Linked DNA regions of Saccharomyces cerevisiae S288C. The gene in region 1 interacts genetically with each later gene. Each region holds a gene or a part of one and is shown on either strand. Other genes may lie near its edges.

Region 1 (3,760 bases):
AAACTTTTCCATCAAAAGATATAGACCTAGAATTTTCCGCAGATTCGCTATCATAATTACCAGTAGAAGTTTGAGATATTTCACTTGATATGGACGATTTGAAGCGCTTGAGGCGAGGTTCCTCTATTCGGATATGTTCATTTAATAATAGTTCTGGAGCTACTTTTAAGCCTATTTCATTCCCAGAAGTTTTCTTATTTTCTAATGTAGTATTATTAGCACTCCGTGGCACAATGGCACCGGCAACATTTTCGTTTAACGATCCTATAGACTCCGTCCTTGAAGGATTTGCAACAGTGTCAGTTCTTGATTTCTGAATAGAACCACTGTTTTTTTTGAGAAACGACCCTGAAGATGGGGCTCCTCTATTGCTTGCAATCAAGCTTTCACTAACATTTGTGTGAATACTATTGTTGCTATTGCTGTTAGAGCTTTTTTTTGACTTGAAAAAACTAGAAACTTTTTGTAAGAAATTATTGGACTTGCGAGGAGAACCTGCAATAGAGTGACTATAAGCCCTTTGTGAGGATATTTTAGAGAGAGTAGGATTCAGAACTTTTGCTGAATCTTTAGACTTCTTTCTGCTAACCGGAGTCATCGATGTTACAAAATCTGAGCCTTTATTGAGCATTTTACTCAATGAAGCAGCTCTAGAAAGTTCAAGTGAGGGTTTCAAAACATCTTCGCTAATGCCATTAGTGTCGTTATGCGTAGCACTTTCAATAACTTTTTTGACTGATAAAACGGACCTGCTTCTTTTTGGATATTTGCAATTTTCTTGCTTTTTCCCTTGGGCTAACAACAATAACCATAGACCCGAGAGTGAATCGCACTTTTTTTTCAAAATTGATTGTTTTATTGCTTGCGTATCAACCCCTGATTGTTTAAGACGCTTCAGCAATCGCCTTTCTAATTTACTTTTAAACTGAGTCCCTCCACTGCGCTGTCTGCACAAAATTTTCTGAGTCTGATCTAAAACCACTGAACCGTAAGGCTGTAAAAAAGGGTGGCGTAAAACTTGTGACAACGATGGGCGCTCTCCCGGATTTTTAGCCAATAATCGTGAGATCAAATCCCTAGCATCGTCCGGAATAACTTTAGCATCGTATTTCGGTTCTTCATTGACGATTTTCCATTTCGTTTTAGCCTCATCGTCATCATCAAATGGCAAATATCCCGTAATTAATGTGTATAGTATCACTCCCAATGACCATATATCAATCTTGAATCCATCATAAGTCCTTCTTTCTATCAATTCAGGTGCCATATAAACTGTGGTACCGCAAACCGTTTCTAATGTCGTCTTTGTCATACATTCTCTCGTAAAACCAAAATCCGTCAATTTTGCATTTCCATTTTTGTCTAATAAAATATTCTCTAACTTCAAATCTCTATGAACACAATGCATTGAGTGTGCATAGTAAACAGCACCTGAAATTTGTGCAAACAACTCTCCGCATTCCAATAACGATATTCTACGCAGAGAAAGTAAGTGGTCATATAATTCCTTCCCTGGGCAATATTCTAATGCCATCCACACTTTTGATTCTGTCACTATCACTTCATAAAGCTTTGTAATATAAGGAAAATCGAACTGTCTATGGTAAAATACCTCTCTAACGATATTGGGATCATTCTTATCACTCGTCTTTAGGCAGACTTTACGATGTGTTGGTCTATGGAGCGCTAAATATACTTTTCCAAAACTTCCTTCACCTATTTGTTTTAAAATCTTGTAGTTTCCCACTTCTGTCAACTCATCAGAAGTAAATTGGCTGTATAGTCGATTGTACGATGATCCTATAATGCTTTTTATATTGTTTTGTTCCAATTTCGAGGATCCAACAGGATTAACCATGGTGAGCAGTATATTCACCTATATGTGGGTCTTTTATTGTCTCTTGGCAACGGATAAGGAGAACTTGCTTCCACTACACAGTGACTAGTTATTAATGAAAAACGAAACAAAATTTATTGATACAAAAAATAGTATTCGGATAACGAAACTCTTGTTGACTTCAAAATACAGGTATTGGAATTTTCGTAATGATTCGGAATGATATGAGGGAAAAAACGTTACTTTATTTAATTCATACAAGATATTTATTGTATACCGTTATTGATAAGTGTTCTGTTGTCAAGATTGGGAGGGTCCACGCGGTCAACATTGTTAAGATAAGCCGAAAATCACCACACAAATCCACGATGACCTAAGAACATTCGTTCGCTTAAATCACCTATAGTCACAATAAAGTAGCATTCAATGTGACAAGAGGAGCTATCTACTTTCAGAGAATTACTCCTCATCTCGTATTCCTATTTCGAGTTCAACAACTCTTTTATTAAGTAAGGGTGCTCAAAATTCTTCATCATCTAATACGGAAAAGCTACAATTTTGGCAATAAAAGATTATTCAAGATGTGAAGCTAACAGTAATTATTACCCACTTCATTGCATCTTAAAACCATTTCCGAGGATGCAGACACTGTGTTACATGGAGATTAGTGAGAATGGACGGAAATGATCACAAAGTCGAAAATTTAGGAGATGTAGACAAATTTTATTCCAGAATACGCTGGAATAACCAATTTTCATATATGGCCACTCTGCCGCCCCACCTACAAAGCGAAATGGAAGGTCAGAAATCATTGCTAATGCGATATGATACTTATAGGAAGGAAAGTTCTTCTTTTAGTGGTGAAGGCAAGAAAGTTACTCTGCAGCATGTTCCTACAGATTTTTCAGAAGCATCACAAGCAGTGATTAGCAAGAAAGATCACGATACGCATGCATCTGCTTTTGTGAATAAAATTTTCCAACCAGAGGTTGCTGAAGAACTTATAGTTAATCGATACGAAAAACTTCTGTCACAAAGGCCGGAATGGCATGCACCCTGGAAACTTTCACGCGTTATCAATGGCCATCTTGGATGGGTACGATGCGTTGCAATCGATCCTGTTGACAACGAATGGTTCATCACCGGAAGTAATGATACGACAATGAAAGTTTGGGATCTTGCAACAGGAAAATTAAAAACTACCTTAGCAGGGCATGTAATGACAGTGAGAGACGTTGCTGTGTCAGATCGACATCCTTATTTATTTTCTGTTAGTGAAGATAAGACGGTCAAATGCTGGGACCTAGAGAAAAACCAAATTATTAGAGATTACTATGGACATTTATCGGGGGTTCGTACGGTGAGCATACATCCAACGCTGGATCTCATAGCTACCGCAGGCCGAGATAGCGTTATCAAACTCTGGGATATGAGAACCAGAATACCTGTTATTACACTAGTTGGGCATAAGGGTCCAATCAATCAAGTACAGTGTACTCCAGTAGACCCTCAAGTGGTGAGTTCATCGACTGATGCTACGGTAAGGTTATGGGATGTAGTTGCTGGGAAAACAATGAAAGTTCTAACACATCATAAGAGGTCTGTGAGAGCTACAGCGTTGCATCCTAAGGAGTTTTCGGTGGCTTCTGCGTGTACTGATGACATCAGATCATGGGGATTAGCAGAGGGGTCTTTACTCACCAATTTTGAGTCTGAAAAGACAGGCATAATCAATACTTTAAGCATTAATCAAGATGATGTATTATTCGCTGGCGGTGACAATGGTGTGCTTTCCTTTTATGATTATAAGTCTGGTCACAAATACCAATCGTTGGCCACGAGAGAAATGGTAGGCTCTCTGGAAGGTGAACGGAGTGTTCTTTGTAGCACTTTCGATAAAACAGGTTTAAGATTAATCACTGG
Region 2 (3,362 bases), on another chromosome or scaffold:
AAATAAGAATGTCGGCGGCCACGAAGTCAGGAACTTTTCTCAATACCTTGGGGTCAAGAACCATAATGATTGGCCCATATCTTCATCAAATTTGAAGCATGTAATGGACAGACTAAATGAAATACATGAAGTTACAATTGATGATAATTATGCAAATATAAACGAAAAGATAATAAATTCATATTTCACCAAGGGTTTTTTTCCAAGTCTAAAATGGACTATATTAAGGCAGTGTATCGAATATTTATTCGTCACGAAAAGGCGCAGATTAATGGGCAACAAATTGCGGTGCATCGTGATGCTTCTTACATTCACCTTCGTGGATCCAACAAGTAAAATGAAAATCAGCCCATTTTTCGCAAAATTCTTTGCGAAGTCCTTGGTTAATGTTTACTTGAAAAAGTATTGGCATTGCAACTTTGGGAAATATATACTATTCTTTTTGTTTCAGCTTAGTATTATGTGATGTGTTTTTTTAGAAGAGAAGAGTTTACAAGTTTGTAAATAATCTATATTATAGTTGTCTTGATAAATGAATTTACAGTATGAATTAGTTATTTACTGAACCTATCAAGTATGATACTCATGTATGACGGGAATGATAGGGAATAAGCCCCTTCTCTTCCTTAGTTCATTATGGTTCTTATTATTCATCATCATTTAAGCACCGGGAGCCTTCGCGTTACCTTTCAATCTCAAAAGAATTTCTTTAAGCTTAGACCTGTCTCTACCCCCAATGATATCGGCATCATCTTGGTTAATTAATTGAAGTGCACGATCCCAGGTCGTATTGTCTTGACCAAAAAATTCATCTCTTTTCTTTAAGAAAGCCTCAGCTTCCTTAGCAGCATCTTCCAATTGTTGTTCCTTCTTTTTATTGTAAGAATCGTAAAAATCGTCAATATGTTTGATAGCTTCATCCTGCAATTCCTTTTTTAACTCCTCGTCCTTTAAATCCTTTTCGTGAATCTCTACAGCACGACGTTGTTTCCATTGGTCTACAACTTCAGAACGATCCTCTTTAACGGATTCTGTACTCTGATTGGCACCTTCGAATGTGGAAAAATCATCATCTGCCTCGCCATTGTCATTACCACTAGATACAGTAGCACTACCATTTTGATCGCTCGAGACTGCGCCATTTGCGGAGTTGATATCTGGAAATTGCTCTTCAAAATCCCTAATTTCGTCATCATCTTTGGCGGGGGAAGCCTCCGTTTCCAATATGTCATCCTGTTCAGTCTTGAACTCGTCTCCAAGTATCTCTGCTTCTCTTTTTAAAAAATCGGTGTCGTCATCTTTTTTGTCGTTGGGTGTGAAATCAATGTTTTGATCTTCCAAAGGAGGGAATTTCTCTGACATTATATATATATGTATCTAGTGAAACGGCGGCGTCCTTCAACTGCTCTTTTGGGTGACTCGCAACGCCTAAGTAAAGCTGTAAAACCCTTTTTCTAGCACGTATATTTTCAGTTTAGTTGTTTAATCTTCTAGGTGCCCCTTTCAGTGTAAAAAAATATGGAAGTGTTTCTATCGTGTAATGTGATGATAATAACTTTTTTATAGAAATGTTACAGATTAGTATGTAGTCTATGTTAATAAAATGTATACTTGTTCCGCTTACTGGATTAACACAGATGCGCCATTTCCAACTTCTATAAGTTCATTTGTATTTAAATCCAATACCTTAAGTCCGGAGAGAGTGCCATAATATCCGGACATAATACCAATAAATCGTAAATCCGCGAAGTATGTTTCTCTCGGAGGTACAACTGGAATTTTGTAATCGTTGGATAATAGTATAATCCCCTCCGCAATTTTTCTATATTTATTATGCAGTTGGTACTGATTTTCCAGTGTCAAGGGCGAATTGGGGATAGTCCCATTATTCATGCCACAGTTGTTTATACCATTGCTGTTACGTACGTTATTAGCTGAAGGGATTGGGTTTATTGTATTGTTATAATACACAACAAGATCCAGGGGGGATGATGACGAGTTAATGATCTGAAGCCTCATAGTAAACTTTTCGCCCTTAATAACTTTTATATTGCTATTAATAAACTTGAATTTTACATTGCTTAATTTGCTATTCACCAATGATGTAGTCGAAGCAGCTCCAAGACTAAATCTTGAGGAGGAAACCCCACCTAATCTTAGATTGGCCAAACCACCAGAATTAACGTTGTTGGCCGCACCATTAAAAGAAGCGCTATGATTGGTATTATTGTTGTTACTCGAGTATTGAGAAGATGTCGAGGAAATTGGCATAGAACGCTTCAATGTGACTTCTGTTTCCCATGATGTTCTCACAGGTAACTTCAGATTGGGATGCAGCTCGAGTTCGTACGCTAAGGTGATTTTCACACGATGTGGTTGAGTTGATTTGGGTAACAGAACCAGTTTAAAAGTAGCGCTAATGCTATCGTATGAAAATGCAGTGAGTGGCACTTTCAAAGGACAGATTGGATCTAGTTCAATTTGAGAGGTTCCGTCGATTAGTTTATACGATATTTCTTGAAAGTTCAGTTTGAGAAAAGAATTGTGTTCTTGCGGATAAATAAATTTTTTGGTCAGTTGTTCGGATGCTTTAGAAGTTTGAAAGTCTAACGATGATAATATGCAATGCTCAGATTTCAAGGAGATGTTTCTCAATCTCATATTCAAAAGTGAGAATATTGGGTATTGGAGCTTAAGAGTAAATGTATTCGGATTTCTAGAAACGTCCGCTTCGTGGACTTCGCTATTTTTAGAACTAACTCGATGAGTCGCCCTGTTATTTTTCTCCAGATGATTATTAGTATTTTTGGATGATTTGGTGGCTGCAGAAGACCAGGAATAAACTGGCTCAAAACTTGGCAAAATCTCCTCGCTAGAGTACTTATCTAATGTATACTTTGCCTGTGGATCTTGTAATGAATCCTGGTTATTGAAATTTGCATCCACAGATTTATATTCAAAGACAAATTTGATCTGATTATTATAACCATTATTCATAACAACATTTGATTTGAAAAGAATCTTCGAACAGCAGTCGTTTTTCAACCTCCATAGATTTTCATTGTTCTCAACTTGGGTAAAATAATCATCGATAGTGCTTGTTCTGGTAACTTGCGCTTCATTTATTAATATTATCATATTCTGTAGTACAAATCTCTTGTTCTCTTGCGAATTACCTTGAAACCACAGCCAAAGATTCAGTTGCTCATCAAATATAATAAATTTACGGCTTAAGTGTGATTGACGTAACTGTTCTATATTACTTCCATCTAAGTCGCAACGCAGCGGTACAAAACATTCCATGGTCAATGAGTTGTGATTTATCAATTGCGCTTAATTCGAATATTGTCCATATAGAGTGT

What was found.
Region 2: mutations in YPL150W (region 1) and CLC1 together harm fitness more than expected from each alone (negative genetic interaction), as found in Saccharomyces cerevisiae (2 studies listed by BioGRID).

The regions. Positions count from the first base shown.
Region 1 is NC_001148.4:266,286-270,045, reverse strand, and holds the start of YPL150W (non-specific serine/threonine protein kinase), read right to left. Parts: upstream 1,859-3,760; coding exon 1-1,858. Other genes in the region: mRNA splicing protein PRP46, read left to right, coding at 2,511-3,760. UniProt on the Saccharomyces cerevisiae protein: Putative serine/threonine-protein kinase.
Region 2 is NC_001139.9:830,456-833,817, reverse strand, and holds CLC1 (clathrin light chain CLC1), read right to left. Parts: upstream 1,363-3,362; coding exon 661-1,362; downstream 1-660. Other genes in the region: PEX35 (Pex35p), read left to right, coding at 1-466; TRS65 (Trs65p), read right to left, coding at 1,621-3,303. UniProt on the Saccharomyces cerevisiae protein: Clathrin is the major protein of the polyhedral coat of coated pits and vesicles. In yeast, it is involved in the retention of proteins in an intracellular membrane compartment, presumably the trans-Golgi. The yeast light chain is important for cell growth.